Linked DNA regions of Alligator mississippiensis. The protein of the gene in region 1 purifies or fractionates together with the protein of each later gene. This does not show direct contact. Links are inferred from orthologs where the notes say so. Each region holds a gene or a part of one and is shown on either strand. Other genes may lie near its edges.

The links.
Region 2: the proteins of EYA2 (region 1) and ACAD9 purify together in Homo sapiens (affinity purification with mass spectrometry; 3 studies listed by BioGRID and IntAct, with this or other methods). This does not show direct contact. The link is inferred for Alligator mississippiensis from reciprocal best matches to the Homo sapiens genes EYA2 and ACAD9.

The regions. Positions count from the first base shown.
Region 1 is NC_081832.1:15,619,659-15,631,075, reverse strand, and holds the start of EYA2 (eyes absent homolog 2), read left to right. Parts: upstream 1-6,515; 5' UTR 6,516-6,541; coding exon 6,542-6,722; intron 6,723-11,417. UniProt on the Homo sapiens protein: Functions both as protein phosphatase and as transcriptional coactivator for SIX1, and probably also for SIX2, SIX4 and SIX5.
Region 2 is NC_081835.1:29,679,806-29,691,832, reverse strand, and holds the start of ACAD9 (complex I assembly factor ACAD9, mitochondrial), read right to left. Parts: upstream 4,898-12,027; 5' UTR 4,892-4,897; coding exon 4,772-4,891; intron 1-4,771. UniProt on the Homo sapiens protein: As part of the MCIA complex, primarily participates in the assembly of the mitochondrial complex I and therefore plays a role in oxidative phosphorylation.

The DNA.
Region 1 (11,417 bases):
TCCATTCTGTGCCAGAATCTCTTAATAGCAACTACAGGGATTTTGGTGCTCTTATATCTGATAGTTAAACTACGCTTAATCGGGATCTCTATCAGAACACTCTTCCTTTTGCCAGCTGTTGGGGCAACAGCCTAGAAGAGCGGTTCCCAATCTGTGGTACGGGTACCACCCTGGTATGCAGGCAACCCGTTAGTGATACACAGTAACAGATTCATTATAATTACTTTATATGACAAAAATTTGCTGGTTGTACTTAAAGTTGTATCATTTTAAATTGGTGGTGCACAATCTGTCAGAGTTTGGGAACCGCTGGCCTAGAACAAGACGTAGCACTACATGGGTAAGAAGACAGAGGCTAGACTAGTTTACTGTCTTCAACTCCTGCAGTTCTAGTCATCCTTCCAAAGTTACAACATACTTGTGGTTTGCTGTTCCACTCTTGAAGAAATAGATTCCAAAATGGTAATTTCTGAGTGGGTTTGGCAATATGTGGAGGTCAATTTTCTTACAGTGCAAGGTTAAGAATGATCAAATATTCATAACATAAAGCTAAGTTTGAAGGAGAGACTTACAGGAGGAGAGAAAAAGGGGCAGGGAAGGGTGTAAAGCAAAGCCCACCAATACTTGAGAAAGCTAGTCAACTACACTTCTACCTTCCATCTGTGCTCACAGTACAATCCCTGTAACATGACTGGACTGCAACTTGCTTTAGGACTAAAGGAATAGGCCTACCCTACAAAGAGAACCCTCCTTTTGAGTAAAGATGAATATAAGTATCATAATAACAATCCAATGTTGAAGATGTACTGATGACGTTCCAAATACTCTATAGTTACTGGCTATGCATGTGACTAGACCAAGTCCCCAACCCTGCTCTCAAACAGGACAGAAGTGAATACACAAGCTGAGTTAATGCCCCAAATCTTCTGGGAGATTTTCCTCACTAGTCATTGAAATAACATAAAAAAACACAACGTAAAAATAGTGCCCATCCGCCTTTCACATTCCTCCACATCTCTTTGCTTCAAACCTTAAATCCTTTCAGGCACAGCAACCACTCTTGTTTGCTTTTTAATCAGTGTGCAATGAGTGGACTGCACCTGAGTGAATCTGCATTTCATGTAATGTTCCAACCCCTGCTTATACGATGGAGAGAAAGGAGAATTCTCCTCTTGTTGGAGCATTTTTTTGCATCCTGTTACATTATTAAAATATTATGGGGGGGGGAGAACAAGATAAATGTTTCCTTTGTGGGGAAAAAAAGATAAATTCATTTTCACATGCAAAACTAACTTTTATGCAAATATAGCCACAAATGAAATGTCATTATTCTACTGACAAGCGTGGTTTTTCATAGTTAAGTTTGGTAGCGTTCCACCCTGAAAAAAAATCACCAAACACGTGTACAAGCACCCAAATATTTTACACACTATCTTTGTAGAATGTAACTATGTTCACAGTGCAAGTAGCTTTTCCACTGTGAAAGAAAGACGATCCTTCTTCTAAACTGAAAAAAATGCAGACAAGACAGCCTTTTCAAACACTAGGCGAAAGTTCTGGTGTGCTTTTTTTCCCCTTCAAGCCAGAACTACAAATGGATTCACACAGCCTTTCTTGTTTTGGTACCAGGGACCAAATTTTCAGCTCAAGATTCCTTTTAAACAAACAGAAAGGGGAAGGGGACATAAAACTAAAAAACAAGCAGGCATATTTGATCACTTAGTGATGAAAAGATCAGGCACTCATCGGGTGCAGGGTTTTATTTTTGTGCATTGTGTTAAAAATTGGAAACCATATGTTTTAAGAACAGCTTCAATAGTATCAGTAGCTATGATCCTCCTCTCAGATTACTTTTTACTGCCTGCCTAATTTTGAGCTTTAATAGCTAACATGCACTTTGTTCATCAGTTACAAATGTTCTGAATTTGAGTGAAGTAGAAGGCTAAGCAACACAGATTGGTCCCTCATCAGTACTAAAGAAACAGCTAGCAATTTGTTTAATGCTAATGTTGCTCAATTTTTACTTTTTACAGATAAATAAATATTCATGACAAATAAATAGACCTACACAAAGAAAATGGATTCCTCCCATTCTGAATGATGAATGTGAGCTATGAGCACAAGGGCCCTTTGTTACAGCTTTGTTGTTGTGTTGAAGACTCATTCCTACAAGGTGCTAAGCACTGATTCAGCAGAGCACTTCAGCACATGCCTAAACTTGGAATACTCACATTGAATTTAAAGTTAAGCGTGTACTGAAGTGCTTTGTCACACAGTTTTTGAGCCGACTCTGGTATTAGTTAAGCACATGCTTAAGTTCTTATCTGGATTAGAGCCAGTGACTTTAGAGTCCTCCAAGATTACACTCTGCTAGCCAGCAATATCCTTTTTATTTACACCTGATGTTTTTCTATATGACAGAGAGAACAAAAAATAATCATTCTTATATTGCAAAGACTTTGGGACAAGATGCCTCTCTATTTTTAGCATACTTTGTAAATGAATTAAGTTATAATCAGGATCATAATAGTTCAGAATGTTTAAATATGGAAAAGCACATATTACTCCTGAGAAAACCAATCAGGGTCCCATTATATCCTTTTTTATCCCCTTCTGGGCTAGCAGGGCTTCTCACCTTTCTAGCTGTATATCAGAAAATGGTTGAAGATCCTAATTTAAATATGTCAACATTGTTCCCCTTTTCTGACAGAGTTGGATAAAATGGAGAAACCTGTTAGTCCTGATTAACAGTGTCAGGTCATTCCTGAGTATCAGGCAAGCCTCGGAGAAAGTTGTTAATTTTCCATCCTCACAGAATATACTATTTCTACAAATCACACTGTTTTGTTCCAGTTCCCCGATCCTCAGCTACTTACCCAGCAGGCTGCCATGGAGCTGGGGCCTCCGGGCTTCCATCTTTTTTTAAATCCTACCTGGTGGGCTACCATGCAATAGAGGCTACCCCGATCCTCTAGGTGGGCAGCTCCCTAGCTGACTGGGTCCCTACTCAGGAGATAGGAAGTCTTCCTGGCTGCCCAGATCTCTGAATAGTTGTCTACTCAGCTCCCTGGGACGATGTAAGAGCTATGTATGTAAGTGTCTCTCTGACCTGACTTATAGGATGGGAAGCCAATGAACCATAGAGGCAACTTAGGTGCTGTGTGAAATTGTTTGAAAAAAGAAATCCATTTTAGAAAACCCCTAAATAGCTAGTTTTAAATATTCCCAACCCGTTGGAAATTTGATGTGCTGGAATTTGTGTTTAGATTCTCGACAAAAATATTTGTTTGGAAGTATGAAGTTTTCATGGGATAGAAATTCCAGTTCCTGCAGCGCAATACTGAATTCACTGCACTGCTTCAATTCTGTTTTGAATAATATTTTTATCTCTTTCAATTCCTAGAAGACACGGGACCAGTTCCAAATTAAATGCCACCCACATCTTGGAGATGCATAAGAAACCAATTTTGCATGCTTGGACACAGCTATAATAGTGAAGGAAAGCAGCCTATACAGCTCCACATTTCTCACAGTTTAGTAGGATGTATTTACCCATTTTTCATAACAATTCTGGTGAATAAAATCTGTGGACAACTAAATGCTGATGCCATTCAGGTTCCATTTCAATGTTATATTATGCATAAGCTAGAGAGAGCAGTCCCACTTGTGCTGTGCGAACTCGTAGACTTGATCCTTTTCCCAGGTAGTGCTGCAGTAAACAAATCTCTCTTCCAATAACATGAGGAAAAGCTCTAGAAATTGTGCCTGTTGAGGGAAAGAACGTGTTTTTCTTGCTTGCTTCAAGCATAAAAGACTGTCTGGTATATAGAATTTGTAAGTATAGATTCTGCTTGCTACTAATTCACTCATTTCCTTTCTTACAGCTGTCTTTTCCACGAAACCTCTATCTGTTGTTGAAATCAACAGAAGCAGCAAACCCTTCCAGAACAAGCACAGGACGGGGTGTTAGGGAAGCCCAGATTTAAATTTTGACTCACTCTCTGGCCCTGTGGCTGAAAACCGGGAGCAGATTCCATCTATTGTGTTTGTACAGTGCCTAGCACAGTTGCTGTGACATGCTCTGTCTCTGATGTGGTCATTTACACATTTGACACAGAGGAGAAAATGCATGGAGCATACTTCTCACCATTGTGATAAGAAATGACGCAGAAGTATCACAGACGTATCCCCAGGCACTACACAAAACAAATATTAATAATTACTTAAGCACATACCTAGCTTTAAGTTCACAAGTAATGTCATTGACCATATCCAGACAACTCAATGTGTAAGTCAAGCACCTAAATAACTACGTTATTAAATCATGGCTTGAGTGCTTTATCCATACTTATTTACCAATGTTAAGGAGTTAGCTTCATACAGCTAATGTGGCAGTCAGATGACTGGGGAAGAAGGAACTGCTGCAGAGGCAAGTCCTAGAGACAATCACATACTGATATCTTGGTAGACCAGTCACCAGATGAGAAATTCTAGGTGAAAAAAGCCAGAGAAGAGTTAATCCAGGCTAGTGATTGAGGCTGATTTAATGTGTGAAAGCTGCCTGAGTTCAGAACTGCAGAGAAACCATGGGGAAATCATGGGGTTAGTGCTGTGAATTGATGGAAAGTAACAACTGAAAAAATGTTGGGGTTTTTTTAGGGCAGCAAGAGGTAGTTCGTGCTAGGAAGTTTGCCAGCTGATTCTCGGCACTTTGTCCTCTTTGGACTGTAGGAACACACTTCGCACTCAGACTGATCTAAGTAATTTTGATAGTAAAAACAGCTGTCTGGTAGAAATGATGTTTTTGTTTCTTTGTCAAAAGCTTGAGTTAAATCCACGAGGGCTGCAAGTTGTTTAGATCTTGAACTCAACACCCTTTGTGCTTCCTGGGATTTTCCCACAAGGACCCTCCATTGCAGTTCATGTGATTTCATTTTCCTGAAGTTTCTTCTTGAAGAAAGGGAGGTAGATAATATAAGCTATTGCCATTGGGGTTTACTGTTATCCTCTGATGCCTTGTCAAAATTGGGTAGCCATACCTTGCCCAGTTTGGTGGAAAAGGTGAAAAGAAAAAGCACAGCACAGAAATGTAACTTCCCTAGGATTCCCGTGACTTGTACGCTGAAAGACCACATTCCCAAATACCATCGGCCTGGGAATGTGCACATATTAGAACATATAGTTGTATGCCTATATATGTGGTAGCGTGTATCAGTGTATATGTGTGTGCACACGTTTGTGTATGAGCCTGTGCATATGCGGATGAAAGGGATGTGAGTGAAGTGGGTGCTGAGAGTACGTGTTTGCACACATGGAGTGGGGAGGGGGGGATGTGTGGAAAGTACAGTATGTTTATGTACTTGGAGAGTAGAAGTGGATCTGTTCATTTCCTGTTTTCAGATGTGCCCGTATGAGTGTTCACTGAGTGTGGGTAGGCAGATCCCCTGTCAGAGACAGATGTTCCCCTGAGGAAGACGGACAAAATCTGAGGGCAGTAAGTGGAAAAGTGCATAATTTAGATTTTGAAGAGCTCTGCTCCATGACAGCCCCACGTGTGTCAGTGGCATGACACAGGGGAGCAGATACTCTCATATGTTTGCTGGATCTGGTTTGAAAACTCGGGTTCCACCCTACATTACATGTATCCGACGAAGCCGTCACAAAAAGCACGTGATAGTATTACACATCATCACATCAGAAGACTTTACTGGATTTTGTTATAAAATATGAAAGCATTGTTTAAAGTACTTCTTCAGCCAAACAGTTAACATTTTATAACAAGCAGATTGTTGACAGTAGCCGAAGAAGCAATATGAACTCAAGAGAGGGGGAGAAAAAAAGTCAGTCTATCAAGCTCAGAGCTCAAATGAGAGGGAAAAAAAATCAAAGGTCATAATTAAAAAAAGAAATCAAAATGTGAAGGTCAGTTGAGAGTCAATATATTAGCAGGTGTGTTTAGAGAGCTAAATCTATGAACATCCTGGTAATAATTCATCCTATATGAAAGGTCTGGGAGAAGTCAGGATGAAATCACTGCTGAGGTGGGAACTTGCGGAGTTGCCAGCTCTAGTATTTTTATTGCCCCGCTCCCAGCCTCTGGTGTCTGACTTGAGAGACCGGGCTCTGGGGAACGTGCTCTGCTCTCATGCGAGGATCTTGAAATGAAAGGTTTTCTTTAAAAAAAAAAAAAAAAAGCGTAGAGAACAGCTAGAGCAGGGTCCGTGCCGGGGTTCATTCGCCTTCCCACCTGGCTACCTGCTTTTTGGAGGAAAAAAAAAAAAGTCTCATGATGTGTCAAGATCAACTCATGATTGCGTGTGGCCAGAGTTATTCAGATCGACTCAGCGCAGCTCCGCGTTGTGGGTCACTCTAGCTCCCCCCTGCACGCGCGCACACGCACACGCACACGCGCACACCCCGCTCCAGCAGTGCGACGCCGGGCGGGACCCCGCCGCTCCCCAGCGCCCTCCACCTGCTGGGAGGGAGCCGGAGTGTGGGCAGAGGGCAAGGTGAGGGCAGAGGCTTCACGGTGCGACCGGGCATGTGCGGCTCGCTTGCACATGCTCACTGCGAGCTCGCCGGGACGCGGAGGGCACGCTGCGAAGCACGGCGGATTCTGCTCCAGCCCCGGCTCCGGACCAGCTGCCCCAGCCTCCCTGCGCGGGCGGCGGCGCGGGGACGCGGAGCGGAGAGCCCGGCGCCAGCACCTCGTGCAGCCCGCGGTGAGCGCCGCGCGGGGAGGGCGGCGGCGGCGGCCGGGGATGCCCGGGGCAGCGGTGCCCGCGGAGCGGCGCGGGCGCGGGGCAGGGCAGGGCAGGGCAGGGCAGGGCTGCCTCCTTCTCCTCCTCCTCCTCCCCCCGCCGCTCGCTGCATCCCGGCCCGGAGCTGTCACCGGGGCTCGCGAAGCCCCTTCCCTGCTGCGGGCGGCGGGGCGGCCCCGCGCGGGTGCCCTGCTCCGGCCGGGGGCAGCCGGGACTGGAGGCTGCAGGGTCGCTGTCCGCCGGCCCGGGCACCTCGGCGCCGCTGCCCGGGCTGCTGCGTGCGGCCGGCGGGGACGGGGTGCGGGAGCTCCCGCCAGGGCTGCCCGGAGCGGCTGGACAGTGCCCCTTGGGCTTGGACCTGGAGAAGGCTCCGGGGACCACAACCTGGCGGTGGCCGATGAAAGACACGGAGCTGCTTCTTCCCCGCAGCTTACCAAAACCCAACTCGGCTTTAAACCTCCGCCCGTTGATTTACCGAGTCCCCGTCTAAACCGGCGAGCCGGGCTTTTAACCCGTCTCCATCCCGCCCAGCCCGAGCGCCAGGCGGAGGAGTTCGTAGGCAAGCCTCTGTCCGCAGTTGTTCAGCCGGGAAAGCTTTGGAGTGTGATTTACACACTTTATTTAAAGTTTTTGAGTGTTAAATTAAGTTGGAGTGAGAGCCAGTGGCCTCCAAAGGAAATTATTGCTGGTGTGCAAGTGCTGTGTTTCAAACTTAATCTGTTGACTGAATGATACATTTCTCCTGGGTGAAATTTTAGTTGTTAAAATGCATATGGTTAACCTGAAACCTGTTTTTTGGTCTACATCACGTTTAGCAACAAGCGTTTTGTTCAGTAGAGTACCAGGCGTGTGCACATCCCTTAATGCAGTTAATGTAACTGGCAGGAATGGTTTATTGTTTAATCCTCCTAATGGAGTTTGCTAGTTTACTGAGAGATTTCCTCCCCTGGAATGCTTTACGTGGAGGGCTTTCTTATCCTTTTTTCTCCAGATGTATTGAATACTGTAACTCAGATCTATTCCTGCATGGGGATCCCAGAAAGATGTTTGGTTTATTTCCAAACTAGCTTCTCTGAATTCTTTTCAAGCTGTTAGTTTTCCTTTATTTTTCTAATTAGATTTCAAAAACACAGAAAAGATGACTTCTTCCTTCCTTCAGGCCCTGTAGCACTACTGTGGTTTTTTTTTTTTTTTTTAAATACAATACTATTAGCTTTCATTCGTGCTTAAAAGCGACAGCATGATGCTGCCTTCAGATGATGTTGTGTGTGACTATGAGTGACTTTCAGTACAGTTGTCTTAATAGTAATGATTGTAATAGGATTCAGTATATTTAAATATCTTTTAAATTCACCTTTAAAATTCATGTGAAATGACTGTTACCACAAATAATGTTAATAATTATTTTTACTTAACTAGTATCTCTGCAGAAAGCAAAAGTAGGCACCCCTGCAAAAAATTGCTTAATGATTTCGTCTCGAGCCATAACATTAATTAAATCAAACTGTCAAGTAAAAATCACATGAATCAAAATATACTTATGACTGAATAACAACAGGTGGCATTTTCAGCTTTAGTTTTTCCATTTGTTTTTATTTTTCTCCCTGCATATTTTGTTTTAAAATACTGCAGTGAGACTTGATCCCCATGACTCACTAATCACAACAACATCATATGGCTGAAATGCTCCAAACGGGCTGCTGTTTAAAATATTTCACAAACTTTACAATCTTAAATTTTTTTATGAGGGATTCATTCGGGAGGAATAAAAATGTTTTTGTTGGAGGGGGAATTATCAGTAAGAATCTGTGTGCAGCTACAGTACGTGTGCAAATGCATCTTTATTATGCAGACAAGTTAAACCTAGATACGCATACTAGGAATGAGGAATGTTGTGAAAATATTGTCATTTAGGTTATGCTCAGAGCCACTGCATAGTGTTTAAATAACACAGTGAGTGGTACTTCAGATTCTTCTAAAGATTAAATAGCTTTCTATATAGCAATCAGTCCTGCAACACTTATACAATGTTTTATGTACGTGAGTATTCATAATAAAATCAGTGAGACTATTTGTGCTCAAAAAACGTGAGCGGGGTACGTGCTTGTAGGCTCCGTTGATGTGTGTTTCTATGTGCTTGCACCACACGCACATTAAACTGCAAGTCCATTAAATAAAATTCCATCATTTTCCGCTGTCATTTTAACTACTATTTCTGACAATGCTGTAGTACAGATTTATTCTGATATAATTTCTAATTCTTCTCAGTAAGATTAATTTTTTCTCTCCCAAAATGTGCAATAGCTAGATGTTTTTAAGGTGTCTTCAGCCGGACTATCCAACTAGAACAGTGTTGAAGACTAATTAATCTTTGCCGTAAACTCCTTCTGCAATAAATTCACAGGCTGTTGTACTTAATATGTGGAAATGACTGTTAGGATTTTTGCTGCAGTGGAAAAATGCTTTTAAAGTTATATGAAAATAAAGATGTTTTCAGAATACCAAGAAACTATTTTGGAATTAATTTTGACTGTTAAATCTGAATTTTCAATTGAATTTAACTCTTCATAGACTGTACAACCTAATCAAAGAAATATTTTATATGATGGTCATAAATAAATGTACCCTGTAGGTCATGGAGGCATTTGGCAGGTGTAGGGAAACCCTGTGTTATTGTTTGCCTATTTATATGAATAAATACAGGATATCAGGCTCATGTCTGCCAGTCCAATACATCTTGCTACATCGTATCACAAGAACATAAAGAGGAAGGAAAAAGTAAAGGCAGAATAAACCATTAAATATCTAAAGACTTGGAATAATGGAACTAGCACATGTAAAATAATATAGTGTTTAAATACATTTTCAGTATTTGGCTTATTAAGCGTAGTGCTGTCCTTAAAAAAAAATAAGTCAAACAAACCTCTTTACACAATGTTGTCTCCAGTACGAAAAGGATTTGGAGGTGAGCAAACTGGGAACACTTAATAGAAAAGAAATCTCATTTTCTCCCCCTCTCCCTCCACAATGACAGAAAGACCAACCTGGTCAGCTGTGTTTTGTTTGTTACATTTAGTGGCTTGAAAGGTCCAATTAGAAAACAATTGGTGGTGGCAACCTAACTCAGGTAAAACAATACCTCATCTTTATTTAGAGATCTTAACTGGGGTAATGGTGTTTAACAAACAGTCTGTTTTAATCAGGTGAGGATAAACCCCTCAATTAGGTAGCACATAGCTGCAACTACATCTTGGTGATGACAAAATGTCACTGGGGGCTAAGAGCCCCTTATGAAGGTCTTATGTTGCTATAGTTTTGTTAGAACTGGAAGAAAAAAATCAAGCAAGATTGTGCAGTTCTATTTACTTGTTTTTTTGCAAAAAGATTGTTAATGTGTGGTGATGAGACTTAAAACAGATAAAAGGGACCTTACTCTCTTCTCTTTAGCAGGCTGCTGTTAACCAGGGGTAACTCCACTGAAGGAACACTGGTATTAATAGCAGTGTGAAAAGAGAATCTGATCCGAAACATCGGTCACTGCACAGCTAGTTCCAGCTGTTGTCACATGCTGCATCCTTTTTAGGTTTTTTTTTATGCTGTACTGTGTGTGTGTGTGTGTGTGTGTGTGATGTATTGCACGCACTGTACACCCTCTGTATGTTCTGGATTTAGTTATATCATTGCACTTTATTTAAAGATAGATGGTTTACGTGTGTGCATTAAAAGGAGAGAAAATTATACAGGATAATCCTTCCCATGTAAACTACCGGTATGTAATTGCTTATTTCCTAGTACTAGTTTATTTAACATGGTGCATGGTTCATTACCAGAGAAGGAATAATTTCTGCTTAACAGATTATGGGGGATGCCGGAGGTCATTAGAGATTGTTTGTTTGTTGTGAAATATAGGCAATATCTTCACTTGACTCTTCCATACCGTTTTACCAGGATATCTGAAGCAGGCTTCTGGCTTTCTAGGAAGGCTTGTGTATGGAACGTGAAGCTGCATTTATTTCTGTTTTATGGATTACTTATTTAGTCTGAGTACGATTAAGGAAAAAAAGAATGAACACATACAGAGTTAATGGCTCTACCTAGCCCTATTACACCTGGTTATGGCAACTGGGACATTGCCTTTACCTCTAAGTCAGGGCAGTAAGGGTAAATAAGAAGATATGGGTCCACATAGTTGGTTGTAGCATCACACATTTTATGGTTACTCAAACAACTGGTTCACAATCTTCTATTTAAAACGAGCGTACCTGATTTTAACACTCAGCAGTTCATACAAAAGAAGACATTTAGTTTGGAAAAAAAAAAAAAAGACCTCCTCTTATTCATTATTTGCCGGGCATATTTGTGGTGCATTGAAAGTATGATCCAAATTTGTGACCATTACTTAATTGGTGAAACTCAGCACACAAATGTATAAATATTTTTATAAAATAATACTGAATGTGAAAGGGTGACTTCTTAAAACAGAAAATAATGATATTTATATGAATATACAGACTAAAACACATACATATGTGAACACACACATGCACACACACTAAACAGCAAGATGCATACCATAATGAAGAGCTTCTTAGAATCTATGGTTTCCAGTGCTTTTATAAGTAGGTATTTAATATCCTTACCTTTATTTTATTTATT
Region 2 (12,027 bases), on another chromosome or scaffold:
GGGCGGTCATACAGGAGGCACCGTACCACAGCAGCCTGGGGCTTGAAGTGGCAAGGAGCTTCCCCATCCCACCCCACTCTGCCATGCCATGTTGGGTCTCGCCTGCTAGGCCGCAGAGGCCCCAGGGGAGGGCATTAACATCTAGCCCGCATCCGCCCCCCAACCCTCATGGGCTCTGCTTCAGCTGTGCTGCCTGAGGGGGAGGGGGAGCTGGGCGTCACTGTGCTCTGTCACAACAGCTGCCACCTCCCACAGGCAGCAACCAGGGTTTGGGCCCTGCTGTGGGGGTGGGCAGGGGCTGCAGACCTGGGTCCCTGGCCCCACAGCTGCAGCAGCTGGGACCCCTCTGGCAGGGCTGGAGGGGGCTGTAGGTAGGGAATGAGAGGCACTAGCAGGGCCACGACACTTTGGTTGGGGAGTAAGAGGCATTGGCAGGGTCCCAGGGGCTGTGGATTGGGAGTGATGAGCCTGGACCTGTCCCCTCATGATCTACAGGGGCAGGGGGAAACTCTGATTTTCCATGATAAAAAACTGAAAATCAAATACCAAAATATAAAGGTACTTAGAATATATTTTATTAGTGATTGAGGCACAGGTAGGCTGACAAATTGCTTTAAAATTGTAAATATATAAATAAAACTTTGTGTTCTTATATTATTAGTGGTTTTTCATTTTAATCATGAATTTGGGGTTTTTAAAATCAGAGAATTTGTGAGTTTTTAACCAGAGAATACCAGGCTCTCTGGTGATTAGGAACAGCCAGCATGGATTTACCAAGGGCAAGTGATGCCTAACCAACATGATTACCTTCTATGATTAAATGACTGGCTCTGTGGATGTGGGAACAACAGTGGATGTGATAAACCCTGGCTTTAACAAGGCTTTTGATATGGTCTCCCACATTTTCACAAGCAAGCTAAAGTATGTCCTGGGTGAATGGACTGTAAGGTGGATAGAAAACTAGCTGGAACATCAGGCTCAAAAACTACTAATCAATGGCTTGATGTCCAGTAGGCAGCCAGTATCAAGTGGAGTGCCCCAGAGGTCGGTTCTGGGACAGTTTTGTTCAATATCTTCCTCAGTGACCTAGAAGATAGGATGGAGTGCACCCTCAACAAGTTTGCAGATAACAGCAAGCTGGGGAGAGTAGTAGATATGCTGGAGGGAAGGGCTAGGATTCAGAGACCTAGACAAATTGGAGGATGGAACCAAAAGAAACCTCATAAGGTTCAATAAGGACAAGTGCCAAGTCCTGCACTTAGGACAGAAGACTCCTATGCACTGGTACAGGTTTCTCTATAGAAAGTGACCCAAGGATTACAGTGGACAATAAGCTGAATATGAGCCAAGTGTGCCCTTGTTGCCTTGAAGGCAAAGAAAGAGCATATTGGGCTGCATTAGTAGGAGTGTTGCTATCAGATCAAGGGAAGTGATTATTCCCCTCTGTTCAGCACTGGTGACGCTGTATTTGGAGTACTGTGTCCAGTTTTGGGCCTACCACTACAGAAAAGATGTGGACAAGTTAGAGAGAGTCCAGTGGAGGGCAGCAAAAATGGTTAAGGGGCTGGGGGAACCTCACGTATAAGGGGAGGTCGAGGGAATTGGTTTTATTTAATCTGTACAAAAGAAAACTGAGAGGGGAGTTAATTTCAGCTTTCAACTATTTGAAGGGTAGTTCCACAGAGGATGGAGCAAAATTGTTCTCAGTGGTGTGATAGATGAAAAGGAGCAATGGTTTCAAGTTGCAGCAAGCAAAGTTTAGTTCCAATATTAGGAAAAACTTTTTTGTTAGGAGGGTAGTAAAACACTGAAACAAGTTACCTAGAGAGGTGGTGGAACCTCTATCCTTGGAGGTTTTTAAGATCAGGGTAGACAAAGCTTTGACTGAGATAACATAGCTGGGAACGGTTCTGCCTTGAGCAGAGGGTTGAACTAAATGACTTCCTGAGGTCCCTTCCAACACTTATTTTCTATTATGGTAACAAGCAATGGACACTGCCCTAGCAGCTTAGTGCAGCAGTGTCCAACTCATCTAGCTCCTCAGGTCAGATGAGTAGCATGAGGCCAATCTGAAGACTGGATCCAGAGCACAGAGCTGTCATCTGGCCTGAATGGTTTGAATTTGGTGACAGCAGTGTTAACTGCTGTGATTCCCAGAACCATGGCACTTGCTAACCCTCCTTCTTCCAAGTTTCCACCCCAACAGGCAGTCCCGCAGTTCTGTGCTCTGGATCCATTCTACAAGGCTTCCCATATGTCTGGAGATTTGACAGCAGGAAGAGTGGCAGAAGCATTAATTGTTGCATCTTTGGAAGTCAGGACAATTAACTACTGCTTGCAAGGCCACCGTATTTCTGGACCCATGGCAGAGGCCCACAGGCTGTAGAACATGGCTCCACGGCCCGAATCCAGACCATGGACCATAGGTTCGTCACCTCTGGCTTAGTGCAACAAGATGGAGACAACTGAAGAGTATCTTATATTTTTATTAAATGAATAGAAACCACAAGCTATGTTTCTTAATGATTTAAACTCACAGGAAGTAAAATAACTAATACTTTTTCTTTGTCAAATTAACTGATAGCACAGAACCTTTAGTCTGCAAATCAAAATATAATCCTAAAGACTTAAGTTTCAAAATGATATCAGGTTGTATGCAAATAGTCACACTGATTTTCTTTTTCAGACTGGAGAGCATTCACGGCATGGTTTACCACTTAAGTGAACAGGAACAGTCTCAGGTTCCAGAGATATTACATTCTAAAAGACAGGGGCACAAAACATAGAAGATATTCCAGAAAATGGAACAACTTAGTTTTTCCTTGGTCTGAGTAGGGACACAACTCACTCCAGGTAATGTCTCCTGGCCTAGCTTGTTTTAAAGAGGGACTTGAGAGAGGGAAATTGCTTGGCAGACTGAGATAGGGAATGTTCCCCATAAAAGGAAAGCATGCAAAGGCAGACAGAGAGAGGAGTGGGAAGGAATGATTAGAGCAGTAATACTGAAGTGAAAGAACCAAGAAGGGGCACTGAAAGAAACCAAGCAATAGATATAAATTGGGATGGAAGACCGTGGTACTTTTCTGGCTAGAGAATTTGCGGGTGAAATCAGAAAGGAAAAAGACAAACATATTAGGCAGAGTTTTACTAGTTTAGATGTGCATGTTCATCTGGACACATCCCATGAGGACATGTGATTTACAGCTCTGCAGACCACGTGTGCCACATATTTGCTGCGCTGCTAATTTGCACTAATTTGCACTGGGAGTTGACACCAAGAGTGTCAAAATTCCCGTGTCAAAAAAATAGAGGCACCAGAAAAAAGTGGGGCAGCGTACACATGGCAGCAGCATGCACCACTAGAAATCAGAGCCTGGCCAGTCACAGCCACACTCTAGCTACCAGCCAGGCTCTGCATGCCTGAATTGCTGCCACTGGAGCCCCGAGGCCCCCAGAATCTTGGGTAAGGCTGCTGGGGCTAGCCCAGATGCTGGCCCCTGCCTCCCCTACCCCACCTGGGGCAATTTGTTGCAGGCCAGAGCATGTGTGCCGGGGCGGTCCCCAGTAGTGGCACAAATGCATGCCACTGCTAGTTGTCCCGGGCAATGAATGTTTCTCACTGGTAGGGACATACCTACGAGGAGCAATGAGCAAGTAAATGAGATCAAAGAACTTGTAATAGTCAAGAGAAGGGGAATAAAACTAGAATAACTTAATATTAAACTAAACATAACACAAAACCTCCCCCAAAGCCCCTCTTGCTGTGTAGGTCAGAAAACAAGAGTAGTGTTTCCCCAGTTCACCCCACCCTATTGCTGTCCTGACCACACCGGCCTGTTCTCAGATCTTGCCATGCGTTTTCCAACTGATCTCAGGGTCTGACTCCTATTTCTTCAAACTCCCACGTAAGTTGCAAAAAGCCCTGGAATTCAACTTAGCCCCACACCCAAGCCCCAAGGCAGTAAATATTCTACCCTTCACTGACATGAGAGACAGCCCTGCCCTTGGGCAGCCCCTTAGCCTGAAGTCAAGTAAAAGGTAGAGCAGATTTGCCATTTTAGACTGATCAAAGAGATACAGATGAATGTATCTATATAGAGAGATGTACCTATATCTCTGCATCTCTGGCCCTGCTGGCATAAGCCTTTTGATGCGCTTAGAGGATCATGTACTTGGGCCCATCAAGGAAGAACTATACGCCTGCCTTAGTAAGGAGTTCACTGAGGACATGAACTGATTTCAGGGGCCCACTAAAGAGAAAACAAGGTTAGGTGTGAGTTTGTAGGTTTAAAATGAATGCACCAAAGAGGGACACCGAGCAGAGTGCACCAGACAGCACCCATGGCCCTCTAACACACCCGAGGAGCCAGTGGACACTTCCCAGGAAAACTGCCCAGAGGCGTGAGTGGAGGAGTGCCAGGAAAGCAGCCCCCACCCACCCGGCTCCTCTGGCCTAGCCAGAGCCGCCTTCCTGGCCAGCAGATGAGCAGCCAGGCCAGGAGGCAGGAGGCAGCAGACTCACAGGACAGTAAGTGGGGCAGGAGACTGGGCAAGGCGGGCTGTGCTATGGAGGGACCCGGCCGGGGCAGCTCCTACGCAGGCAGGCACAGGACACGGGGAGACTGCAGCTTTCGCGGGTTGAAGCTCCCCTCGCCGGCGCCAGGCAAGTGTCCCCGCTGCCCACCAGCCGCACGGACTTCCCGGCTTTCTTGCGCCCTGGGCCCTTCCCTTTGGCCGCAGGACCCGTCCGAGGATCCCTGCGCGGCCTCACCTTGAGCGGTGTCCCCAGGAAGAAGTCGCAGGCGCCGCGGCGGCGGGGGACCGCGGTGCGCAGCTGCCGGGCCCCGGCGGGGAGCGCGGCGCGCGCCGCCCGCAGCAAGTGTCGGCTCATGCCGTGACAGATCGCGGCGGCCGGTTGACGCAGGCTGATGACGCCATCGATCCGCGCCGAGACATGTGATGACTGCGCCGCGCGGGGGAGGGGCGACAGCTCGCGGGCTGTAGGAAGGCTGAAAACCGCCGGCTGTTTCCGGTGGCCGCTTCAGCGGGGAGACGGAAGCCGGTATTAACCGCCTCTGCTGCTGTCCTGCGGGGCATGTTCGAGCGCTGACGCTTACTTGCTAGTAGCAAGTGCGGTTGGCAGTAAAAACCTGGCGGGCGGCCCGTGACGCACGAGCGGGGCGGGGCGGGGCCGGGCCGGGCCGGGCCGGGCCTTACCTTACCCAGCGTGTCCGGCTCTGGGCTCATGGTCTTAACTTGTCTTAACCGCGCCTTGGTCGCAGGCACGTTTGTCAGCGTCCAGCGGCGCTGACGGTCTGGAAGGGGAAGGTTAGGGGAACCCGGCTTTCTTCATAAACCTTGAGGGTTATGCCCCTTCTTAAATCAAAATGACTTAAGTCATTCGTGTGGATATTACTAGTATCACTAGTCCTCTGGTATCAATGCTTGGTTATACTGTCATTCTTCCGGGGGGGGGCTGGTTCTTTGACTGCTCTGCCACATAATAATTTACAACTGCAGAGTGGTTTCTTCAAACAGGCTTTTTGCTGCCTTGCCATCAGGGTCGTATAGCTAGTAGCTGGAAATCCTTACGTCCACCTTCCATCCCGTTACTCTGAGTAGTGCAGATCGTCTGCGTTCTCAATGCTGTAAGCAAAACAGCCTCTCCGCTGCCAATTTCCTCAAACAGTTCAAACATTTACTTAAGACAGTTTCACATGACCATACCTTTTCAGTTCATGTAGTTATGAAAGCGCAAAAAATATCAGTGAAATTGCTGACTGATTATTGTCAGGTCTATTTTGCGACAACCTTGGTAAGAAGAGATGTTCACATGAGTACCAAAATATCTGAGTCTTTGCCTTCAGGTGTCACATTAGATATGAACCAAGCTTTGTTATTCCTGTATCCTGGAGCCCTCTTTGCATGTACTCTGGGTTAAGTTTGGTAAGTTTTCCCTCTCTGGCTAGGGACAGACATTACACACAAACCAGTTTAAGTAATCAGAAACTGGTTTGAACCTGTAACAGAACATAAGTTCAGTGTACATAAACCAGTTTGAAAATGGCTGAAACCAGTTTAAGATAAACCTAGTTGAATGTAGTATCAAACTTAACTGATTTGGGTCCAACCGGTTTATGCGAAGTCTGTCCCAGACACCTACCTGCTTTAACTTAAGCCAGAGTCCCCCAGCATCCCAGATGCTTTGCAACCCTGGGCAGCACACACAGCTCCACAGCAGAGCTGGCCCCACCCCTCTGCTCCCTGGCTGGAGCTCCAGCAGAGACTTAGAGGCACAGCAGGGTCTACCTGGCTTCCCCCTGCCCCAGTGGTGATGCGTATGGGGTACATGGGAGTGTGCACCCTCTGAGAGCATCAGTGCACCCCCTGACTGGCTGTGCTTGCTGCTTACGCCCCACTGCAAGCGCTGGCCGGGGAGTGGGGGCCCTGTGGCACTCCCAGAAGCAGCCGTAGCCACTTCTGGAAGTGACTGCAGCAGTTGGCTGTGGGGGAACCAGTTGGTAGGATCGGTCATGAGGGGACACCTCCCTGGTCGCTGACTGGTTGCTGTGGGGGGAGGGGACATGCCACCTCTGACTCAGGCGGCACCAGTTGCCTATGCCCTGCCCCATCCCGCACCCACCACTCCCTGCTCAAGCAGGGATCCCTCCCCTCCCGTCTCCCACAGCACAGACCATAGCCAGCATGTGGTCTGCTAGCTAATGCTGAGAGGTGTCTGTGTAAGGCAGACAGGACAAAGGCAGACAGGACAGTGTCTGCTTATGGCTTTTTGGAGCTAATCAACAGGTAGCTGTTAATGTCCCTCTATTCCTTTCTTGGAAAAAGTTGTTTAAGAAGAGCTTAAACTGATGAGAAATACTTTTGTTTTGCTGATAGGCTGATAAATGCTTTGCAACTCCCTGCTGTGTAAGTAAATGCTGTGTAACTCCCTACTGGCTCCATTGCTGGTCAGAGGAGCAGCAAGGCGGGGGGGGGGGGGGGAGTGCATCCTGCCAGGGTCTGGCTATGCTCCCCCACCCCCCTTCAGCTCAGCACCATGGAAGGGAAGGGAAGACTGTTCTAGCGCCCCCAAAATACTAGCCTGAGCCATTGCAGGCATGTGCCGGCATTTCCTCAGTCCAGAAGGGATGTCTGTATGGTTACAAACCGGTTCAACCTAGCCAGGTTAGACTAACCTGAGTCTATAAGTGTGGTGTGGGGGTTTTTTGCCCCAAGGTGAAGCACCTTGCATTTCTCAGTGTTGAACGCCATCAGGCTTTGATCCGCTCACCTTGTAAGCTTGTCGAGGTCTGCCTGGATCGCCAGCCTATCCTCTAAGGTGCCACACTTCCCCATAGTTTGGTGTAGTCAGCAAACTTAGCCAGTCCACTTCTGACACCACAGTCCAAATCATTTATAAATACATTGAAGAGTACAGGTCCAAGAATGGAGCCCTGGGGGATGCCACTGGTCACCATGCACCATGTTGATTCAATTCTATCAACTATCACTCTCTGGGTTCATTCATGGAGCCAGTTCTCCAGCCATTGGACTGTGAGATTGTCGAGACCGCAGTCCCTCAATTTTTCCACGAGGACATCATATGATACCAGGTCAAAGGCTTTCTTGAAGTCCATAAATATGTCCACCTCTTCTCCTTTTTCAGTTATCAACTCGAGGTTACTGTCACCCAACTTCCCTTCAATTCTCAGGTCGCTCACTAGATTATCCCCTTTGGCCAGTACCAGGTCCAGCAGCACCTTGCCTCTTGTTGGCCCATAGATTTCTTGAGACAAATAGGGCTCATCAATGCATGTGAGGAAGCATTGCCACTGATTGGATTTGGCTGAGTGCTCTTCCCATGAGATGTCAGGGTAGTTGAAGTCACCCGTGACAACCATGCAGCAGGACCTTGCAGCTTCAGCCTGTTTCCTAGTAAAAAATTGGTCAATTCTTGTTCCTGAGGTCTGTACTAGACCTCTACTGTTATATCCTCTTCACCACATTCCCTTGTACATTTACCTAGAAGGTCTCAAGTTGCCCTCCTTGGCTACCAATCTCTGCCTGTATGAAAGTGTATTGCTTCTTCACAAGGAGAGCTACACCCTGCCCTTTCTTGCAACATGATCTCTCCTGTACAAGGTATAGCCATCTATACCTGTAGTCCAGTCATAGGTGGAGTCCCACCAGGTCTCTGTTATCCTTATCAGAATGTAGTAATTTCTGTTTGGCAGAAGGGTCAGTTCCTCCTGTTTGTTGCCTAGGCTCTTGGCATTTGTGTCCAGGCAAGTGAGCCTACCATCAGAGGTCCTAGGCTTCCCTGCACTCCTAGAAGAGCCCTGTCCCTGGGCTGGGGTAGGAGTGAGCTCCCTTGATCTGATCTGCTGATCAGCCTGACCTGCTGATGTTGTGGTCGGCGCTTGGTGGGCTTGCACCAGTGGTTAAGCGTCCACCCCCCTGCGAAGTTAGTTTAAAGCCCAGTCAAGCAGGTCAGCCATTCTGACCAAGAAGAGCTTTTTCCCCATGCAAGTGAGGTGGAGGCTGTCCCTTCCCAGTAACTCACTGGCTCTCTGAAGTGCAGACTGTGGTCGTAGAAGCCATAGTCTTCTGTTTAGTTGTTCAATTCTTTGGTCTTCTGTTTACTTCTTCAATTCTTCTCTCCCTCCTATGCCTGTGGCCTGTAACTGGAAGGATCAAGGAGAAAACCACCTGTACCCCCAACCCTCTGAGCCCTGCTCCCAGAATCCTGTAATCATTCATGACCTGGCTGGGATTGCTCCAAGCCATGTCATTCGTACCTACATGGATGAAGAGCATGGGGTAGTGGTCAGAGTGCCAGATAAGTTTTGGGATCCTCTCAGCTACATCGTGGATGCAGACCCTTGGTAGGCAGCATACTTCATGGGCTAAGGGATCAGGGTGGCAGATAGCTCCCTCAGTCCCCCTCAAGAGGGGGTCTCCCACAATGACCACTCTGCATTCCTTCTTAGGGGTGGTTACAGGTTGCCTTTCTTCCTCAGGTGTATGAGCTGGGAGCTCTGCTGGCTCTTCTGATGCTGTGAAGATTTTGTACCTGTTGTGAAGGTCCAGGGGGGTGGTGACCTTTGTGCAGTGTTACTTTGGGGCCAGAAACAACCTTTATCCAAGTGACCCCTGGCTGGACATTATGGGAGCTCCTCCTGTCCATCCTTGTCCTGCCAGCCAACCTTGCTCTTCATTCTTCTTCCTTCTGGTGAAGAACCTGGCAGTAAGAGTCAGTCTCCTCTTTGCCATTCCTGATGGCATGCAGCCTCTGCACCACCCTCTGGAGCTTCCATATCTGGCACTCCAGAGACTCCAGTATGGAGCAAACCTCACAAGGGGAGGTGTGAATTTTTTTTGATCCCATGTGCCTGCAGGCATGCCAGGCAACCCCCACAACTAAGAGCCAGGGGCCCCATCTGAGTGGAGGCCAGAACCATAGGTTCTATCTGGGTGGAGACCTCAGAGGTACTGGGGTGGGTGAGGAGGAGCCAGTCACAGAGGGAATCTTCAGGGGGAAGTGCATCCCCACCATGGTTCAGGTAGCAGTCTGGGCTACTGCTGTGCCAACCTTTCACTTCAGGCTTGCTGCTTAAAGCCTTATGTCCCTCCTGTACGCCCTTCTGCATGAACTCCCATGCTAACTTGCACGCCGGGCCCAGAGTGCGCCTGTTTGTGCGCTCTGTTCACGTGGCTCCCTGGAGGGCTGGGCCAAGTAGGAGCCGGGGAGAGAGAGGAGACGTAACCCTCCTTGGCTCCTCTCAGCTGTTTCCTGCAGCTGACTAGCTTCCACCCACTGCAGGCCCCACCTACCTCTCAGCTACACTGGGGGTCACGTTTGGGGTCTGCTGCATGTCCTGCTGCGGATCCTAGGGGGTCCCAGGCTTATGGGGGTGCAGCGGGCTTCCACCTGTGCATCTCTCACTGGAGCCAGGCCCAAACTGTGGCTTCTGCCATTAGCGGGCCCTTTTAGACTCTGCACAGGTGCAGTATGGCCTGCCACTGGCGCCACGCCCCTCTCAGGGGTTGGGGGTCCCTGCCCCACCAGAGAAGGGGACAGGTGAGTGCCCCCTTCTTCCCCTGTTTCATGCGCCAGGTGGGCCAAGTAGGAGCGGGGGGCGTGACCCTCCTCAGCTCCTCTCAGCTGCTTCCCACAGTTGATTAGCTCCCATCCACTGCAGGCGCCACCTGCCTCCCGGCTATGCTGGGGCTCAGGGTTGGGGTCTGCCGCATGTCCCGCAGAGGACCCAGGCTCACAGAGGCACAATGGGCTTCCACTTGTGTGTTTCTTGCCGAAGCTGGGCCCAAACTGAGCACCATCAGGTGTTGCACTAAGTTTCCCTATCCCTGGTGTAAATTACTGCAGAAGATTCAGTGCAAGGAAGATTCAGATACCTTTCCGCACACTTTACCATGTCTTATATCTAACTCAGTTCTGCTCAGTCTGCTTTTCAAGCAGCTTCTGAAGAGGGTTTCCTTGTTTTTAAACTCATAAGGAACAAGTAGATAAAGTAATTACCTAAAAGTTGGAATTTGGGTAGGAATGAAGCAAGGCCCCATCTTTCCAAGAGAAAGGGAGAGGGCAAGAGGAGTGGGGACAGAGGAGACAATGGTCAATCACTTTATTGTCTGGATGAATACGAAATCTTTAACTGACACACTTATACTCCATGAATCCTAAAATTCATGTACAAATTAACTTTCCTTTTGTTTCAAATGTTTCTTTCAAATTTCCTTTAAACTTTTAAATACTTTCTTCTGTTCTTTGATTTTTTTTGTTACACCTATTTTTCTCTCCTTTTTTAAGTTTCAATTTTTCATTTCCTGTTTTTATTCAGCTACCCTTGTGCTTTGTTTTGTAGACAGGCTTTAAAATACTCAGTTGCCAAAGCAGCACTGAACAGTTAAACAAAAGAATAAGCTATATTCAGGTAAATATAATCCTACTAAACTTTAAAAACCTTACACTGAGTTTACATTGCTAAGCAAGACTGTGGCAGAGCACAGGGTGTCTCTGCCACTTTAAGGGCCTGGAGCTGGCAGCCTCCAGGTGCCTGATTAGGGTAGCCATTTTGGGGCCAATATAAATAAGGCAGTTTGGCTGCAGGAGGCCAGGCAGCAACATTGCCTGGCCGCAGGGCTGCTGTGAACGACCTGGAGGTAAGGGGGAGCCGCAAGGGGTTGGTAGGAGGCTCCTGGTCCTGGGCATGACCTGAAACTGCACCCAGCCGGGAGTGGGTGGTCTGGTGGGGCTCTCAGTGGCGCGGGAGCCCCCAGGAAATACCAGGCCAGTGATCACCCCGGTGAAAGGCGGGTTGGGGCGCCTTAACCCCTAGTTCCTACCACCACCGGGTGGGTTACCCATGCTTATGTTGGAGGGCCTAGAGGGCCAGTGTTGTGAGGGGCCCAGAGGAGCGGACCCCGAGAGTGGGAGTGATGTGGGCGTGGTGCTGCGGTTGCCCCCGAGAGGATGGGGAGTAGTGGCATGGTGAGGCCCAGTGACAGAGTGAGCGGCTAGAGAGACTCAGCCCGAAGGGAATAGTACCCTCGACTGGCACATGCTGGGGCCAGGACCAGAGAGGGTCAAAAGGGCCTGGGGCCCACCGCGAGGGACGCCCAAGAGCCGGGGGCCTGGGGTCCCAACTCGCCTTGAGGTGGGCCAGGGCAAGAGGCCGAAGGTTCCGGGGGAACCACACCCGAGAGGGAAACATGACTTCGGGGGGGCTAGGTAGCTCAGATGAAGGCGGAGAGGCCATCTGATCAGGAGGGATCATAGTGGGGTCATGTAGGATGATTCTGGGGCCCAGTGTGGGGCCGGTGATAGTGTTAACACCGTGATGCCATCTGCGAGGCTTGGGCTGCTGTATTAGGGGAGGTCGGAGCCGCAGAGCGCCCCCTGGCATCGGGGCATTACAATGGGTAGCCTCCCGCTTAATTGACATCGACATATGTATCAGTTATCATCAAAGGCGTGGCGGGCGAGATAAGCGGGCGGTTGCCCAGAGA